2 linked regions of the Alligator mississippiensis genome follow. The protein of the gene in region 1 binds, or shares a complex with, the protein of each later gene. Links are inferred from orthologs where the notes say so. Each region holds a gene or a part of one and is shown in the gene's direction. Other genes may lie near its edges.

Region 1 (9,772 bases):
ATTTTCTTGCCCAAAGAAAACAGCCTTTTATACCAGGTTATATTATAGGAAATGTTTGTTTACAAAACTACAGTGGGAAAGGGAACTGGACGAAAAGAGTAAATGGGTACTTCAGATTTTTTTCTGTAAGGGTAGCTAAGATCTTAACCGGAAGAAAATTTGAACGTCTTCCTGCACTACTTGATATACATGGACAAAAATCCTGGGTCAGATCTTCAGCTGGTGTAAATCCACCTTGTTCCATTGTCTTCAGTCTTTGACCCTTGTTTGTCACTTAAGGAATAACTTCCTGTGCAGACATTCTGGAATAAAGTAGTGTGTAAAAGCAATAGCTATTGTAAAATAGCTCCCAGTATGGACACTTAGTCTGACATGGGAGTACTTTTTCCCAACTTACTCTAAATTTGGAAAAAGGCACTCACTTCAGCTTAATGCTGCACATACCAAAAGCCAGTCCACTTGATTTCTTTTTTTCCCTCACCACTACCTCCCTTGCTGCTGTTTATCCTTAACAGCCAGACAGAATCTCTCCCTGTGACTGACTTGTGGAGTTTATGCATCCAAGCTTGAAACATTACTTTTCTTTACTTGGGGAAATAGTGAAGCGCTACAGCTACTCTGTAATAGAGCTGTGCAACACTTCAGGTAGTGACTCAGTTTGGCATGATTTTTTTTTTTTCTTTGGTGGCCAAATCTCTGAATCCATATTGAATCGGGACCAATTGAGAGGTCTGAATTAATCCAAAGCTCTCTGAATCTTGGAAAAGATTCTGAGAGCTTTGATTCAGACAGTCCCAGGGAGCTGCAGCAGCCTCAGAGCTGGTAAGTAGCAGGGGGGGGAGAGGACCATAGGGTCCCCTGCCTGCCCCAGCTCCCAGTTTTTTTTAAAAACAAAAAACCCCGGTGCTTACCAGGTGCTGCTGGGCATAGGGTGCTGCCTGCTGCCCTATGCTGCATGGGGGGGGCTCTGTACAAGCCCCCGCCACATTGGTGCCCTGCCCAGGCTAGCTCTGGCCCTTTTTAAGAAAAAAACAAACCCTGGGATTCCCGGCTCCTGAACTGGCCTTAAGCTTTGGGGTGCTCACATAGAGATCCCTGCAGGGCAGTGAGGATCACCCCCCTGCCAGCAGGAGCCAGAATGCAAGGCTGTCTCTGACTTTTTTTTTTTTTGTTGTTTTTTCTTAAAGGGCTAGAGCTGGCCCAGGTGGGGGGGACTGGGGGAGCAAGGGGGGTTGGGGGGCTTGTGCAGAGCCCCCCCATTCAGTGGGGGGGCAGCAGCTATCACTTCTCTTCCCTGCCCTCCCCCCCCACTCACCCCCAGCAGCACCTGGTTGAGTACCAGGGCTTTTTTCTAAAGAGGAGTAGGGTGGGTGGTGCATCCATTGCTGGGCTGGGAGAGTGGGTGGGGGATGGGGTCTGGCCTGGATGATTCAGAGATTCGGCAGCAGCTGAATCAATTCGGGACAGTAATACAGATAGCCAAATCTAATCGCTGTCCCTAGAATCAGCTGAATCCAAAGTGAATACTAGCTGCTTCACACAGGCCTACTCAGTAAGGGCCAGAAGCAGACTAGTGCTGTGAACAAAATAGAATGGCTCACTACAGGAACTTATCTTTATGTATTGAAAATTAAATTTTCTTCTAATTTTCCCAATGTGTGATGGAAACATGACTGCTTCACTTAAGGCCAGTTCTGTGTCTTGTTGCCAGCTGCCACAAAATAAATGAACCTGAAACTGTTGTTACTTACTGATTATAACAACACGAGTTGTAACAGAATCCTAGTCTTGCGTAACAAGCATCACTGCTGGACTCGGTCATCTATCTTCCTACGTTCCTTTCCAAATCTTTCATCTTAATCCACCTCTTTCCCTCCAGACAACTGTCTCAAATCACTTGGTATTAGGGCTGGGTGAAGCTTTGGGTGCTGATTTGGTTCGGAGGAGATTTGGCCCAGTTTTTTTTTTTTGTTTTTTTTCTAGTGGTTGAATCTCTGACTCTGAATCAAATCAGGGGACTAGTTAAAAGGTCTGAATCTATTTGAAGCTCTCTGAATCACTTTGGAGAACTTCAGTGATTTCTGGCAGTCCCTGCTGGTTGCTTCAGGGAGCTGAACCCAGACTCCATGCTGGTAAGTACGGGGTGGGGGAGGGAAGGCTGGAGAAGAGGACTATAGAGGAACCCCTGCCAGCCCCTATTCCCTTCCCACCTCCCCATGGCTGCTCCGCCCACCCCAGCTCTCAGTTTCTAAAAAAAAAAGCTCCTACTCACTGGGTGCTGCCAGGTGGGCAACAATCCCTGCTGCCCCCCCACTGCCCTCTGCTGCATGGGGGGTGCTCTGCCACAAACCCCTGACCCCTGCCCACCCAAGCTCCCAGCCCTATAAACAAATAACCTACCCTGGACTCGCTGGCTCCTGCAGTGGCCTTGCTGCTTCTGGGGGCTTGTGGAAAAGCCCCACAAAGTGGGGGGGGGGGCAGTGGGGATTGCCCCCTGCCAGGCAGGACCTGGAGAGCAGGGTGGGTAGGTTGCTTGGTTGGTTGTCTTTTAAAGGGCCAGGAACTGCGGCAGGCAGGGCAGCCACGGAGGGACTGGGAGAGCAGCCAGGGGTGGGCTCATGACAGAGGGCTTCCCACCCCCCTCCCGCATGCAGCATGGGGCAGTGCCTGGCAGCAGCTGGTGAGTGCTAGGCTTTTTTTCTTTTCTTTTTTTTCTTTCCAAAGAGCCAGGAGCTGGGCGGGGCAGCCATTGAGAGCGGGCAGGGGATGGGGCCTGTGTGATTCGGAGATTCGGCTCATTTGGCGGGAGCCAAATCAATTAGGGACAGTGTTTCGAATCACCAAATCGAATCGCTGTCCCCCCCGAATCAGCTGAATCCAAAGCGAATACTAGCCGCTTTGCACAGACCGACTTGGTATGCTGAAGGGAGGTTTTTGGAAAAAGTTTGTTTTTTTGCAAGAAGAGGCTGGAGGGAAAACTTTAAGCTACACTTCCTGCTTGAACTCGGTCTTTCATTTAAAAAAACAAAAATAAAAAGACACCAGCTTCTCACCTGAGCAATCAAACCACCACTGTCCTTGGTCCTGCTTTCCTATGGAATTTTCCCTGAGGCCCCTCCCCACCCACAAGCAAGTTGAGGATTGGTTGGGGGGGGGGGGGGGAAACAAAAGGAGTGAGAGAGATCTGCTAAGGTCTGTGCATGTGTAACCTAAGGTTAGTGCATGCCAGCTGGGGATGAGGGCGGTGCACTGGTACACTCGTACCCTGCTTTGATTTCTAGTCCATCCAAAGTTAAAAGCCAGCATTTCTATTCAGGCAGCAGTGAGGGAGTCCATTGACTTAATGGCTCATTAGAATTTGCTCAATTCCTTCTAAACTTTCCATTAAAATAGTCTTTAATGGTTCCCTTCGTCCAGCTCTCACTTCTACCATGCTGCTACTAGCTGCTTTTAGTCTCACAGCTCCCATTTCAGAGTCCAGCAGTGGTTTTCAGGTGTAGGAACACAAACTCAAGTGAATGTTAGCTCAAGTGTAGAAATTAACTTTCAGTGGAGCACTTGGGGGAACTGTCTAGATTAGGAGTTGGTAACATTTTTGGGTAGAGTGCCAAAAACACCTACAACCTTGACTTGTAAGATGTGCCAGAGGCAGACAAAAGGGGCCTGATCCTTGTTGTGGTAGTACAGCCCTAGCCCCTTCTCTGCCATCTGCCCTGAGGCCCAAGTGCACTCGCTGCTAGCAACAAGCTGGGCCTAGGCTTTGTGGATCCCAGTGCAGCTGTTTACAGACTCCTGGCTGTCTGCCACAGCAGGCCCCAGCTCTGGGCAGGAGCCTGGGCTCTTTGCGGCAGGTTGCAAGGAGGCTGCAAAAAGCTGAACTAGGGTCATTGGAACCCTGGCCTGGCTCATTGCCAGTGGTGGGTGTATGTGCACTTCAGGGTGGGCAGCAGGGAAGGGGCCGGGGCTGTACTGCCACAACAAAGATTGGGCCCCTTGTGGCTCCCCCGCTGTCTGTCCCAATGCATGTGTGCCAAGCAAAATGCCTTCACATGTCATGCTCTGGCACATGTGCTGTGCCTAGATGCTCAAGATGGCTTGGTTTTGTTTTAGGGATCTGAAAGAGAGACATGCCTTTAACTAAAATGACTCCAAGACAAACAAAACAACATTGGGTTATTTTTTGCCTCGTTAGTTGATGTAATTGAGTAAATTCATGCACATTCCAATGCATGTTGTTCTTTTTCTTTTTTTGGCTTCAATCTTAACTTGAATACTAGAGCTCTAGGCTAATATCTATCAAGAGAGCTTCGAGCATCTTTTTCACTGGGCAAAACTGTGATGATGCACCGTACCATGTGCACCTCCCCTTTTCAGAATCCTAGATCCACCCATAGCTGTTGCCCAATGCAGAAATCAGGCCCGGGAAAGTTCTTTTGAGACTGTCTTTAAAATGGTGTGTGTGTGTAAGACTACCATCAACTGTGGTTTAAATTTTTATACGAACATATATATAATGACTACCCTCAACCCTGACACAACACAGACCTCACACCTGAACCTGCTGCAGGACAGTGGTGTTTCTCAGCATGAGGGAAACAAAAACTCTCTATATAAAGGCTGTAAACATATATAGAGCCTTTTGTTTCCCTGATGCTGAAGAACTCCACTGTCCTGCAGCAGGTTTCGGGTGTGAGGTCCTTGTTATGCCAGGGCTGAGGGTAAGTCTTTCGAAGGGTTTAAATTACAGGGAAGCTGGGGGTGAGGGGAGGTTGAGCCCCCCCCTTGCTTAAGAGATGAGAGCCCTCCTGTAAGATTTGAAAATCATAACCAGGAAGGGAGTGTCAGAATTGTACAGATTCACAGAAGTTTAGGGCTGAAAGGGATCGTATGAGATCATTGGGTCCAGCCCCCTGCTCTGGGCAGGAAAGACTGCTGGGGTCAAATAATCCCTGCAAGGTGAGCATCCAGTCTCCTTTTGAAGATCTCCAGGGTAGATTTTAGATTTTAGGGGATTTTATTAGGGCATCATGATGGGCAGCCCAACTTTTTTTGTAGACCGCTCCCCCAAGAGTCAAAGTGCAATTCAAACCCTGGTCTTTCATAGAGGTTAGAGGAGGGCTGTAGGGGTTGGTCTGTCGAGGGCTTATCCTGCCTCAGGCAGGGGGTTGACTAGACCTCTGGAGGCTGCTTCCAGCCCCACTTCTCTACAACTTTGTGAGGCTCCTCTGAGGCAGTGTTGCTAGGTCTTAAATACAATAATTTCCATAATTTCATATTTTCTGCAAAACTATTGGACACTGAAAAAAGTATGCAAATAAGTATGCGAATCAGCCTCATTTACTTTTTTATTGCTACCTGTAACCTCTAGTGAGGGAGAACTGGGGCATCCAAGTTGAAGCCTTTCTTCATTCCGAGGCAAGCTGTCAGGAGAAAGTGATGACAGCAAACCCGAAATTTGGTTAAGACCCTCCAGAGAGTGACCTGGGGTGTTTTTTTGCATATGCTGCACCAATGAGCTTCCCCGAGAATGAGCGCCCATTTTGACAACTTTTAGTATTATCTATTAGGGGTACAGCGTGCAAGGGTTGAAATTGCGCCACAAATACGATCATTACGGTAATTAAGCCCCAGTGAATCACCGAGCTACGGCTTGAGGGCGCGGCGATGGGGTTACGTCACAGCCTCGATCTGGCGCTCCCGCCTTCCCTCCCTCTCCTTTTCCGCTCTGCTCTGTCCTTCCGCACCCCCCACTCGCGCGAGAACTACCCTTCCCAGGAGGCCTCGGGGCGGAGCGCGAGGGCTGCCGGGTAAGGCGCCCAGTCGGATGACGCAAGGGACAGGGCGCGGGCTAGTGATGCTCCGCCGCCCGGGCGGGCGCTCGCGTGGTTGGCTGCTGGGCCGGACGGGGCGGGTGGGGGGGGGGGGACGGGTGTGCGGACTCGGACGCGGCGCGGGCGGGCGGGACTGAACCGGCGGCGCGTGAGGCCTGGGAGGCCGCGAGACGGGCCGCGCGCCGGCGGGGGCGCCGCTCCGCAGAGCCCGTGACGGCACAGAGGGGCGGGGCCGGGGAGCGGCCGGGCCGCGGGGGGAGGGACGGCGCGCGGGACCCGGGGAAGGGCCCGGGGCCCATCATGGCTTCGGGCAGCGGTGGCGGCAAGATCCGGACGCGGCGCTACCACCTGGGCGCCTCCACGCCCTACTCACGGGGCAAGCAGGTGAGGGGCCTGCGGGCGGGTGCGGCCCCGGGCCCACGTGGGAGCCACCGCGCCGGGCGGGGCCGCGTGGCGGGCGCGGCCGTTGGCGGGTGTTGCGCCCCGGGGGGGAAAATGGGGGGTTAACCCCTTCCTGCCCGCAGCCCCGTTTGAGGCGGGGGGTGTCCCATGGTGGGGGGCTCCCAGTTGTGGGAATAGCTGAAGGGATGGACATGGCTGGGTGGTTGGGCCAGAGGGGCTTTCCAGCCCTGCCTGTGGTAGGAGGATATGGGGGGATTGCATGTTGTGTGTGCTTGTGAGGGGTGCAGTATATTTTTTCCTGATGACTTTTTTCCTGACTTTTTTTTTTATCTTGTTCCATTGATGTTTCAGATTTTTGCTGCTTTGAACCCTTGTTTCTGCCCATCTCAGTCCAGTTTACAAAGCCCCCCACTCCTCCCCCCCCCCCCCAGGTGCTTCCACTGAGGGCTTCTGCATCACAGCCTCCTTCCCTGCCCCTTTCCTCTGAAGTTTTTCAAGAGTGGTCCCCTACACGTGGCTTTTGTCTGGAACATCCTGGGTGTGATATAATATGAAGGGGGAGCGGGAAATCTTGCTTCATAAACTGCTCTCCTGCCTTCCCCTTCTGTGCCTTGCCTCCCTGGGTGGAGAGAGAATGAGTTTTTGTTAGCAAATCACTGCTCTTCCCCCAGGGAGCTGTCTTGGGTGCATAGCCCAAGCTGCTGGAGGCAGGCAGGAGGGAAGGCGTCTGCCCTGTTAATGCCTCAGCTTGCCACCTGTTTGAGATGTGCCCGTGGCTTGCATAAGCCGTGCCCCTGTGTACTTTGCTAGTATCACTTTGGGAACACTTAAGGGAAGTGTTGAAGGCAACAGTCTAAGTTACTGCTTTTTTTAATTAGTAACTTCAGCTAGAAGACCATGTAAATGAGGATTTGCGTGTATGTGTGTAGATACAGGTTGGGGGGGTGTACCTTCACTGAGGGTGCCATGGTATCCTGGGGTGCCTTGAGATCCTTTCTAGGGTGCTGCAGGGTGCCATGCAGTGTTGGAAATGCTAGGTATGCAGCCATGATTCACAAAGTACACCTTCATATAATCCACAGAATCAAAACCATTCTGACCTGTTGTAGTCTTTCTGAGTTCCTTGCAACTGAAGAGTTGCTCTGTTAATTTTCCGTAGTCAAAAAATAAGTGAAAACTAAGAGATGACATTTTCCAAGGGGTGCCTTAGTTTATCATGGAGTGCCTTGAGTCTAAGAAGTTTAAAAACCCCTGATCTAGATAGATGTTGATATATGCTCAGAGGCAGACACGCACAGATATATATACAATGACATATTTCCTCTCAAAATCATTAACAGGGAGTTGTAATTTGTGTACAGCCTTAAGCACAATATTGTTTTATACAGCGTGATATGTGCATTTGTCTCGGAAATTCTGGTGCAGCCTAATGACACAGACATCTAACTGTTGAAAGCAAGTTGCTACTCTTTCAGATCAAGTATTGACATACTTTTGCAAAAGGTGAAGCAGAACTGAAAAATCAGGTAATGTGCATGATGATGAGACCTAGTTGAAGAATGATAAAGCTGTAAAGATAGATACTGAAACCAAAATATACCAATCAAATTTACGGTAAAATACGGTAAAATATCTGAGGAAAGTTTCTTTTCTGTATTGTAATAATTTTAAATTCCATTGTCTCATTGGTTTATTAAATTGTGCATGTTTTGTTGGATATTTCAAAAAGCACTTTTCCAGGTTGAGCTTGCAAACTTGCAGAACATTCTGCATATTTATTTCTGGGCAGCTAATTTTAAGTAGTAGGCTTAAATTTTGCCGATGTGTGCTAATAGTCTAGACTAGGGCCCAAGACATGCAACCTTCCAGTGTGATCCCTGTGGCCCTCCATAATCTATTAAATGAGAAGATTTGAAAAGCAAAACAGTTGAGTCCTGTGTCCTTGCTGTGTGGTAGTTTGCTAATCTGCACGTATGCCTACATGTGCAGTCTAGTTTTCTGCTTGTAGCCATGACTGAGAGCTGATGTCCAGTCAGAGTAGATCCCACTAGGGACAGCCTCCATTGGAAAATGTACCTTGCAAGGAGCCCTCAATAAAGTTTAAATTGTTGGCCTTTAGATTAAATTTTTTTAATGACCTTTGAAAGAATTTAGGCACCCGGGTCAAAAAAATTGCAATCCTAAAACCTTCTGAATCAGACCTGCCTCTTGAGGCATCTCTCTTCAATACATGCTGCAGTCTGTAACCTTAAAATTCCTTCTTTTTTTTTTTTTTTTTTTTTGCCTGAAATTTCTATTTCTGCATGTACCCAGAAGTACCTTGGTGCTAACCTACTCAGTCTTTTCAAAACCTAGTTCAGACTTATTCCCCAATCAGAAACTAAAAAGTAGGCATTGATCCAGCTAAGTCTTTAAAGGGATTTAGTCCAGTAGATATTCTACAAGCATACCTAGCAGTTACCAGTGGAATCAGACATCATATAGCAGGATGTGAGGCTTTGGCTGCCCACCTATCTCCCAGCCAGGGTTGGGTCATTCCAGCCTGTGGCTGGAAAAGATTGTCTACCCCTGACCTGTAGGATACATTGGCAGCTTTAGAGGTAGCTGGAGGAAGGGGGTTGAGCCAGTGGGATGTCTCAGGTCTGATCAAGGAGTTGTTTGCTCTGTTTTGTGAAAGCTTAATGATTTTGCACTTGCTCAGAATATGGGGCCTCAGTGAGTTTCCTCTTCTGCCTGAGAGGATTTAGACCCATATCTCCTGTCTTACAGAGCATGATATTCTAGAGCAGGGGTGGGCAAAATACGGCTCATGGGCCAGATCCAGCCTACGGCTGCCCCCATAGTGCTCCACATGGGGCCAAGTTCCACCCGCTCATGCCTGGGTCCCAACTTGTGCCTGGGCACGCAGCTTCCAATGGGGGTGTTCTCAGTGCTGCTCTGCTCTCCTCATCTCCAGCTGGAGCTGCCCAGCTGAAGCTTCCGCCTCCCTACCTGATTGCCCACCTGGAGTGGCACAGTAGGAGCAGGAGGACTAAGCTGCTGCTGAAGGCAAGGGGAGCAGAGAAGCACCCAGTTGGCTACCACTGCTCTGGAAATAGCCCCACCAGAAGCTATGGGTGCTGGCCAGGGCCCAGGCCAATAGGGCTGCTCTGCTTTTGCCTCCAGCTGTGGCTCCTCCTTTCACCCCTGCTGCAACACTCTGGGCAGGGGGTGCTTCTGCCTCAGTGCGCAGGGCTCTGCCTCCAGCTCCTGGCTGCCTTTCACCTGCTTTGGCCACCTGGTGTGATGAGCTGTCAACTGTGGGCAGGCAGAGTGTGTGGAAGTTGGCCAGGAGGTGGAGTTGGAGGCAACTTGCTGAAGCTCATTTGTGCCGGCCTGGGCCCAGCAGGGCTGTTCCCAGTATGGCTGCAGCCCTCAGGGTACTGCTCTGCTCCCCTTGCTTCCAGCAGCAGTTGTTCCTACTGCTCCGGGCAGGTGGGAGGAAGCTTCAGCCAGGCAGATCTGGCTGGGGGTGAGGGGAGCAGAGTAACACCTGGCCA
Region 2 (10,032 bases), on another chromosome or scaffold:
CACTGCTGCTGCCACGGGCCCGATAAAATGGCTTGGCGGGCCGCATGGTGGCCCGCGGGCCATATGTTGGGCAAGCCTGCTCTACACTAATGCTCGTAGTGTTGTCTAAAAATGTCCAACTCGGGATCCTTAAAAGTCTGGTTTATTAGGCGGATTGAAACACTGTAATGAAGTCAAATCATAAACCTTGGGGCTGGTCCCCACCCACAGACACACACACGCACACACATGCACACACACAGTAGCGAGTTACAAGAGTTGGGTATACTTATCCCACAGGTGCTGGAGTCTGCCGTCGATGGCCAGTCGAGGCTTCTTCCAGTGTGGTGTTATCCTCCAGAAGGGGGTCGCCGGCTGGTCCTTCTGGCTGGACAGGTTGGGTGCTGGTCAAGTTGGAGATCAAGAGGGCACCCCTGAGCGTCACTTTTCACTGCTTTTTATCTGTCCTTGGCGGACTTCAGTGACTCCCCAGTTTTCAGGTTTGCCCAATCCAGGGGTCATTGACCCTCGTGGGACTTCCCCCTTGGTGGCTACTGGATGGCATCTGTCAGCCTCAGGGGTTGTCCGCATATACATGCAGGTTTGGGAGTCCGTTGATGAATTTTGATTAATTTACTGTTGTCATGAGTAGGGCTCTGGGAGCGGTCTATCTGGAGATATTTAGTCCCAAAAGTTGGTCCCCGGTGTTGATTAACTCAGACGGGGGCTTCTAGCCCTTGAACAGTGAAGTTTAGAGAATTCCTGGTTGCTACGTTGTCTCCTATTGATTTCCTCCCTTGGTTGATCTGTGGTTTTCCTAGGTGTTAATTGATTTTAGTTACTGAAGCCTGCTACTGTGTTACACATTCAATCACTGATTGACTCACTCTTTCAGGGGTCCGCCTGATACAGGGAAGCCCAGTTTGATTCCTGCCCTTGTTAACATTGTTACAATGTATAACTTACTTCTGAAACTAAACACTTTTAGTTAAAAGGTGAGGAGTATAAAATATAAGCTACAAGAGTAATGCCATGGCACACAAATAGATAAAAATACCAAAATACAAGGAGAGATACAAAATACACACATACAAACTTTAAAACACAATTCCTTATCTTATAGCGAAAGAAAGAGAAAGGAAGAAAAGGTAGAAGAAGAGAAACATATCCAAAAAGGAGAGAGCAAATGCAAGCAAGAGGAAAAGGGGGCTTTCTGCTATAGTAGTATGGGGAACAAGCAGGAGGAACTTGCCCTCCTGCTAGCTAACACAAACCCAGACATAGTGGGACTTACTGAAACTTACTGAGATCCAATGCACGACTGGGTGGTAAACATCAAGGGCTATAGGCTGTACAGGCAGGTTAGAATGGGGAGGAAAAGTCAGGCTGTGGTGCTGTACATCAAAGAGCAATACACATCCTCAGCAAACAGCACTGGGTCATTGGAGGGGCAGACTGAAGTGCTCTGGGTCAGAATACAAGGGGGTCGGGGGGAAAAGGGACTTAATGGTGGGGGTCTACTACAGACCACCCAACCAGGGGGAAGAGCTAGACTGGGAATTCTCAGATCAGCTTGTGGAGGCAGTTAAGTCAAGGAACGTGGTCATCATGGGTGACCTAAACTATCTGGACATCTGCTGGGAAGAGCAGCCAGCCAGGTCTGACCGCTCACGTAGGTTCCTAGCTGAGTTACAGGACCTCCATCAAACCCAGGAGGTGCACAGTCTCACCAGGTGAAATGCCTTATTGGACCTGGACCTGGCCACAGGTGATGACCTGGTGAGGTGACTGCCGGGTGCTCAATCACCTGGGTGATAGCGATCATTGTCTGCTGGAATTCACCATCCAGCGCAGGGTGTCAAAGGCCTGCAGCAAGGCAGCAGCCCTGGACTTCAGGAGGGCAGATTTCGATGATGTAAGGAGACTAGTCGGGGAGGCACAGAGGTCCCGGAGGGGAGGGGATTTGGGAATCTAAGAAGAGTGGTTGTTCCTTAAGGAGACTATCTTCCAAGCCCAAAGGGTGACAATCCCAAAGCAGCTCAAAGGGGGCAAGAGTGCTCAAAAGCCCCCATGGCTCACCAAAAGCATCTAGGAACATCTCAAAGCTAAAAAGGAGGCATACACCCAATGGAAGGGAGGGGTCATCACCAAGGAGGATTATACCTCCATTGTTCGAGATTGTCGGGGGGCTGTTAGGAAGGCTAAGGCGGAGACGGAACTGGGACTAGTGACCCGGATCAAAAATAGCAAGAAGTCCTTTTTTAAATACATAGCGGGTAAAAAGAAGTTACCAGGTAACGTGGGACCTCTGCAGGATGTGCTTGGAAATCTGGTGGTCACACCAGACAACAAAGCTAACCTCTTTAACACATTCTTTTCCTCTATTTTTCTGAGCAGGGACCAGGTTATCCCCTCCACCGGGATCCTGGACAGACCCAAGGGAGGTGCAGCCAGACCCAGGTTCATCGAGGACCTAGTCAGGGAACTTCTGGTGGGACTAGATGTGTTCAAATCAGCAGGTCCTGACAATCTCCACCTCAGACTGCCGAGGGAATTGGCAGAGATCATTGCGGGACCCCTGGCACAGCTTGACAAGCACTCGTGGTGCTCTGGCAAGGTGCCAGAGGACTGGAAAAGGGCCAATGTGGTTCCCATTTTCAAAAAAGAGAGAAAGGGAGGACCCAGGAAACTATAGGCCAGTTAGTCTTACCTTGGTCCTGGGAAAGCTCTTTGAAAAATTATCCAGGAACACATCTGTGAGGGGCCAGCAGGGGAGATTATGCTTAGGGGCAATCAACACGGGTTCATTAGAGGCAGGTCCTGTCAGACCAACCTGGTTGCCTTCTACAACCAGGTCACAAAATCCTTGGACGCAGGTCTTTATAAACTTTAGGAAGGCCTTTGACACTGTCTCTCACCCCATTCTCATTAAAAAATTAGGTGACTGTGGTGCTGATGCCTGCACAGTCAGATGGGTCACAATTTGGCTGGAGGGAGTGGTGGTGGATGGGTCATTTTCATCCTGGAGGGATGTGGGCAGTGGGGTTCCCCAGGGCTCGGTCCTCGGGCCTGCACTGTTCAATATCTTCATCAGTGACTTGGAGGAGGGGGTGAAAAGCACCTTGTTCAAATTCGCAGATGACACTAAGATGTGGGGAGAAGTGGGCATGCTAGAGGAGAGGGACAGGCTACAACTATCTCTGGACAGGTTACAGGGGTGAGCAGATGAGAACAGGATGGGTTTCAATACTGACAAGTGCAAGGTACTGCACCTAGCAGGGAAGAACCAGCAGCATGCCTACAAGCTGGGGAACTCCCTTCTCATCAGCACAGAGGCAGAAAAGGATCTTGGAGTCACTGTTGAGTCCAAGATGCATGTGGGCCACCAATGTGAGGATGCGGTCAGTAAGGCTAACCGCACCTTGTCATGCATCCACAGATGTATCATGAGCAGGTCCAAGGAGGTGATCCTCCCCTCTATGCGACACTGGTCAGGCTGCAGCTGGAGTACTGTGTCCAGTTCTGAGCGCCACACTTCAGGAGGGATGTGGACAGCATCGAGAGGGTCCAGAGGAAGGCCACCCACATGATCAGGGATCTGCAGGGCAGGCCCTATGAGGAGAGGCTATGGGACCTGAACATGTTCAGCCTCCACAAGAGAGGGCTGAAAGGGGATCTGGTGGCCATCTATAAACTGGCCAAGGGAGACCAGCAGGCAATGGGAGAGTCCCTGTTCCCCCAAGCACTACCGGGAATAACAAGGAACAAAGACCTTAAGCTGACTGAAAGTAGATTCAGACTAGACATCAGGAGGTGCTACTTCACTGTCAGGGTACTAGGTTCTGGAACCAACTTCCAAGGGAAGTGGTGCTTGCTTCTACCCTGGGGGTCTTCAAAAGGAGGCTGGATAATCACCTAGCCGGGGTCGTTTGACCCCAGCATTCTTTCCTGCCCATGGCAGGGGGTTGGACTTGATGAGCTGCTCAGGTCCCTTCCAACCCTCCCAACTATGAAACTATAATCTTTCTGATTCATTATTTTGGAATCATACAGGCTCCATAGGTTTGTTAAATAAAGCCATGGGACTTCATTCTCTGCTGAAGGGGAAGGGATCCTATGGTAAAGAGATTCTGGAAGCAAGGAATAAAGAACAGGAAGTGCTCCCGCTGTGAAGGCTTCATTACTGACTTGGAATTGAGAAGACACAGAACCTGTGGGAATGCATGCAATGCCTACATGCAGGGCTGTCTCTGCTGACTGGTGCAGAAGGGGTTGAATCAAATCCTTGCCCTTATCTCATCCTTATTTTAGGGAAGGGTAATTTTTGGCTCTAACCTGGAGCATAGATTGCACTCACAGGTCCCAATCATGCAAGACCTTTTGTGGCCTTTGCAAAAAATACTGAATGTGTTTGGGTGCCTGTAGATGTACAGGAAGGGTGCTCTGTAATTACAGCATGTTGGAGCAGACTCAATTAATCAAGTCTGCTGGAGTGTGCTAATTAATGCACTCCAGCAGCCTGCATGTCTCATGTATTCAGCGTCCCCATGCTTTAAGATGGTGGTGGGGGCCCTTTAACTAAAGCTTGTTCAGTAAGCTTCAGTTAGTGCTCCTACTGCCATTTTGAAGCATGGGACATTGATTACACAAGACACTGAGGGCACTTCAATTAGAGTGGCTCTCTGAGCTGCTCTAAATACCCCCCCTTCCCCCCCTGGAGCATGTGTAATAACACCCTTTAATTCAAATCAGCATTTTTCTGAGTTATGGATGCTCTTTACCTTGCAGAGTCTAGATCAGGGGTCAGCAATGTTTTTGAGCAGAGTGCCAAAAACACCCACAACCTTGACTTGTAAGATGTTGGCATGCCGGGGGTGGATGGCAGGGGCTGCAAGGGGCCAAATACTTGTTGTGGCAGTGCAGGCCTGGTCCACTCTCCACCGTCTGCCCCAAGGTGCGTGTGCCAAGCAAAATGCCTTTGCATGCCATGTTCTGGCACCCGTGCCGGGGATCGTCCACCCCTGGTTTAGATCATTTACTGGCTCCTAGACTGGAATACAAAGGGAGAGAAGTTTTGCATCCACCCCTTCACTTTGCAAATCTGTGACAATCTGATTCATACTCAAGGCCTAGGGTCTTGGGTGAATTGAGCAGGAAATATGATCTGTTAAAACAAATAGTCAAGCCAGCAGCCTCCCACCCTTATCAAGTTGTTTGGAAGGACAGTTGTTTTCTGTCCAAGGACAGGGCACCTCTGTAAGTGCCTTGTGTCTCCTGTAATTTTTCAACTCACCACTGTGCGTAGCAAAATCTTTAAAAAAATTGTAGAGAAAAGAAAGAAGGGGAGAGAAAAAAAATCCTCTCTCTCTGCTTTCTCCTCACTGGAGACAGCTGGCATTTTAAACTAGAATGCTGGATCCAGCGTCCTTGAAGGACCAATGTCAGATGTTGGCATTATGAATGTCAGACACCAGACGATCACGCAGCTCCATGTCACCAGCAAGGCAGACAGCATGAAACAAATCCAGATGGCAAGGTAAGAAACTACTAGGCAGGAGGGAGGGAGAAGTGTTCTCCGGCTGCCTTTTAAATATTGCTACTGATCTTTCAACCAAAGCACTTAATAGCCTCTGAAGGAGCAGTATCTTCACCTCTTTACCCTTTGGCTCCAGCTTATGCCACTAAAATGCAATCGGGGGTGGAGGTGCAGGGCAGGGGGAGATTGGAATCTGCTGCTGATCAGGATGTGCCCGTGGTAGGAGGAAGTATAGTGAATACACTGGGGGGAAGAGAGATCATAAGACAGTTACTATGCCTGGCCCTCAGGCTTTAAATTCTGTTTTTAGAGAGTTTGAAGGGTGAAGGGCATTTGATCCCACTCACTCCTCCGAGTGGATTTTACTGTGGAAATCAGGGCATGCCCATCCGATGATATTACATTTGAATCTCCCCGCAGAAGATCTATAAAACTAGAGGTGACTGTAGCCTGTTAGGCTGAGATCCCCAAGAGGGAAAGTCGGCCACAGCAACCTGCAAGTTATCCCTCACTGGGAGGCTCCGTGCTAGGCCGGTACAGCCCTCCAACAGGGAAACCAGCCAGGAGGAAGAGCAGCGCCCTCCCGGGCAGCCGCACATCAGAGTTGCTCGCCCCAGAACAGCCCAAGGCGGAGGCCGTGAGAGCAGCCTTGGTGCGCACCCTGATCGAGCCCTGGCCTGAGGAGATGAAATGAGGCCTGTGACCCGTACAGGCCTCCATCCACCTCCTCCCGCCCCCGCCCGGGTGTCGGGGGCAGGGCGGGGCGGGGCAGGGCAGGGCCGGGCCAAGCAACCCCAGGGCCACCGCCAGGGGACACCCCGCCCCTACTGCCCGTGTCTCCTGCCAGCGCCTCAATAAAGTTTTGGCGTGGGGGCTGCTGGGAGCTTGGTGGCTGCTCCAATCAGCGCGTGCGGCGCGGAGTGGGCACCCGCGGCGGAAGGACACCGGTAAGTGGCGCCGGGCCGGCGCGTGCGGGACGGCGGCGGCGGCGGCTGTGGCCTCTGCGGCCTCCCCCCGGGGCCACGTGCGCGGCCCTCAGTGAGTCCCTGTCCGGCGGCTCGTGCTCGCCCGGGCGGAGCTCCCGGGCCCCGGGCTTGTCAGCGCGCCGGGCGGGTCTGCCCCGAGCACGAGCTTCCCGGCTTGTGTGGGCGCCTGCAGCCGCCTGCGCCCTGCCCTCTGGGGCCTCCCCTGCCTGGTCTCTAGTGCGGGTTCTCGGCCTCTTCAGCGGCCAGGCCCCTGCGTTAGGCTCCAGCCCCCTCGGAAAGTGCCCGCTCTTAACTTTCCCTTGGATTTCACTGGTCTGCAAAGTACAGCTCTCCCCAGCCCGCTACTTGACTTCAGACTAAGAAACCATCACTATCTCTTTGTGCTGACTACCGGCCATTTCCCATTTGCTCCTTTTAGGCTTTGACTGGACTAACCCATCAACAGGGGAAAAGGACTATAGGGAAACAAATGGCATATGACAAATGTCCTAGACACGTTAAAAAATATCTAACTGAAATGCGTACGGTGTGGTTTTGCTCTCCTCTGTTCTCTGCATTCTCTGCCTTTCTGACCAGCAGTAGCCTCAAGTATGTTCTCTTGATTGGGACACTAGGTTTACTGGACCTTTTTAGATGGGATCTGATTTGTCTTCTAGCCCTGGTCTCTACAGGGTTGCAGCACAAAATGCTGACTTGAGTGCAACCAGGGTTACAATCTCCATGGGCAAGGCAAACCTCTTGTTAATGTGGTTGGAGTTTTCTTTTGTTAAAACTTAGTCTTTTGACACAGTGAAACTTGATGGGTAGATGCACACCACTCCATGCTGCTGGCTACCTTCCCTGGCCCAACACTGGCCTTGGCTCAGTAATTCTGTCACATGCACAATGCCTGTATTTTTGGATGTGTGATATTTTTTTTTTTCCAGCAGAGAGGCTATCTCAGTAATTTCTACATTTCTTTTGTAACATCCTTTATAATTTCTGAGTGTGTTGAGTTTTTGTCTCCCCCCCCCCCCCCTTCCAAATAATGGTAGCTTTCCACGTAACAGTGGTTAGCCTAGTATGTCAATGGTCTGGGCTCGGATTGGGTGCTTAATGTATATAGAAAGGAGTTTGGGGAAAAAGCATGAATTCTGAGGTAACAAAACTGACAGGTGACACTATTACAGGTTTCCTTTGCTTTATGCTGTACACGCATTCCTGGAAAACGGTGCATACCTCAAATTCATACAAAGGGAACCCACTTTACAATGTAACAAATCGGGATACATTCCAAGACCTCGATTGTACTGACCCCCACTTTACAAGACCGTTTTGGTACTTGCCAACTGCACAGGGTGGTGGTGAATGTTACCATAATAAGGATGGCAACTGCAGAAGCACGTGTCACAGACCACAAGCGAGGAGCACAGATCCACACAGGCAGGGCCCTGTCCCTGTGGCAGGGGTGAAATGGGGTGACCACCCCAGGCCCTGTGCTTTGTGGGGCCCTGCAGAGCTGGGTGGAGCAGCAGCGGCACATCCAGCCACTCGCTACCCCCCACACCACCGCTGGTGCTGACGACTGTGGCAGCTTCTTTGGGTCCGAGGCCCATGGGATTGGAGTAGGATTGGGGCCCCGCAAACGCTGACTTGCCCCGAGTCCTGTACCCTGCTTGGGTATGCTGTGCACGCAGGAGACTATATTTGGGTGTGCGTCAAAGCAGCTGTCTGAGGGCTTCCACCACACTGATCACATAAGAGTGAATTTACCTTGTATATAATGAATTTTTGGTATAAATAGCTCAGCGGATAAGAGTGAATTTGCGCATACAGAACCTGCATAAAGCAAGCAAAACCTCTATTTAAGAGGCAAGGGTCGAGAAACCTGAGGAAAACCTGCATGGTTGCTTTGCAAGTTGTATAGAAACATAAAAACAAGCTGACAGTCAAAAATACTAAAAAGCTTGTTTGCGCAATCAACAAGTAGTCTGCAGCGTTCAGGTTATAGAATTTTTATATCAAGGAGTTGTAAAGCCAGAATTTCTAGTGGTTGGTGAAAACTTGGAAATGGATGGTTGTTTTTGTAAGTATTATTTTTATTGTAGGATTTTAAATACAGGGACCTCCAGAAGCTGAGAGAAAGGGAGGAGCCATCAGCAAAGCTTTGGGACATGCCTTACTGTATAGCTTAGCAGCTTCTCCATCTTCTGAGTAGAGAGAAGATGTTGGACTTGTTGCCAAAGTGCTGCCTTGCACCTTCTTTAGGTGGCTTGATACTGCTACTCCTAGCTGCCCCTAAAGCCTCTAGAAAATCAGCAGTGTTAGAGTCTCCTTTTCTCACAGGAGCTTCTTGCTCATCCTTGGGTTTGTCTTTCTTTCTCTCTCTCTCCTCATGATTAGTTTCAATTTCTATAGGTGCTGCTGCTGGTAGCTTTCCTAGGGAAGCTGAGGAGTCAAATTGACCTGATTCTTGTCTCTTTCATTGTTGCTTATGAGTTTCTGAATGTAAAGGGTGAAACTGAACCAGACTTGTCAATTTCACTTTGCTGCAGTAGTACTGGAGAGGTCTGGTATGCAGGAGGGTAGATAGTATATCTTCATATTCATTTTCCATTTCGGAGAGATCTTCAAAGCTGTAAGTGGTAGATGGCCTTAATAAAAGATTGGTAGACTATATTCAGAGTTTAATGTGACCACTCTACACACCAGTTATAAAACAATGACTTGTTGAAAAAATATATAAGTAATGGAGTCTTTTTAACCTTGAGTTTTGATGTCTAACTCTAAATGTGGGTACTTCTATTATATTTTAGATATTTTATCTGTTATATTATCTTTCATAGTAATAAGCTAAAAAAATTAAATTGCTCTATATTTCTCAAAGCTAATTAATTAGATGACACATACCTTTCAGTATTTGAAAGATAACGGATGATGTTCACATATTTGAATATTTAAGCTTTGAAGCCTGTTCAATAAAATATTCAGCATGGCTATATTTGGAGTACATTAATTACGACATTCTTCATTGGGCAGCATCACTGTCGTCTTGAGGAGAATTAGTCGTTTTTTTAAATGGCAAATCATCATTTAAATCAGTGTGGAGTTAACAAACCATACCTGTCATTGCCTTCCAGTGCCCTTTTGGCTTAAATTCAGTCAACTACTGCAATATATAATGTTTATTTTTAGTTTCCAAATGTTAGAGAACTGTTAAAATGGAGTTTTATTGGACATGGAATAGTAGTTTAATGCAGCAGCATCTATTGATAAGTTATCAATGTTGTTTTACAGAAGAGCCTTTTCAGTTTCGGCTTTTAGCCGAGGGTCGATCTGGCTTTACAGAAGTTAGTTTAATTTCTTTTGTCTGCATTTTCTTTCCCTTAGGTGTCAGTTGTTGCTCTTTCCTCAGCCAGACATGAAAATCTGGCATCATTCTGCTCATTACTGTGGTAGCACTTCCCATCTTGAACAGCAGCATTAAGAGTCATACTGCAGTCTCTTGAATACAGTAAATTCTGTGAGTGGAAAGACTAGTTTGCACAGTTG

What was found. Proteins that work in one complex are often made in the same cells at the same time.
Region 2: NUP153 (region 1) and NUP93 share a complex: the UniProt entries of both Homo sapiens proteins name them as parts of the nuclear pore complex. The link is inferred for Alligator mississippiensis from reciprocal best matches to the Homo sapiens genes NUP153 and NUP93.

What each region holds. Positions count from the first base shown.
Region 1 is NC_081826.1:130,931,401-130,941,172, reverse strand, and holds the start of NUP153 (nuclear pore complex protein Nup153), read left to right. Parts: upstream 1-5,963; 5' UTR 5,964-6,131; coding exon 6,132-6,215; intron 6,216-9,772. UniProt on the Homo sapiens protein: Component of the nuclear pore complex (NPC), a complex required for the trafficking across the nuclear envelope. Functions as a scaffolding element in the nuclear phase of the NPC essential for normal nucleocytoplasmic transport of proteins and mRNAs.
Region 2 is NC_081833.1:36,476,724-36,486,755, forward strand, and holds the start of NUP93 (nuclear pore complex protein Nup93), read left to right. Parts: upstream 1-5,327; 5' UTR 5,328-5,515; intron 5,516-6,355; exon of another isoform or gene 6,356-6,462; intron 6,463-10,032. UniProt on the Homo sapiens protein: Plays a role in the nuclear pore complex (NPC) assembly and/or maintenance. May anchor nucleoporins, but not NUP153 and TPR, to the NPC. During renal development, regulates podocyte migration and proliferation through SMAD4 signaling.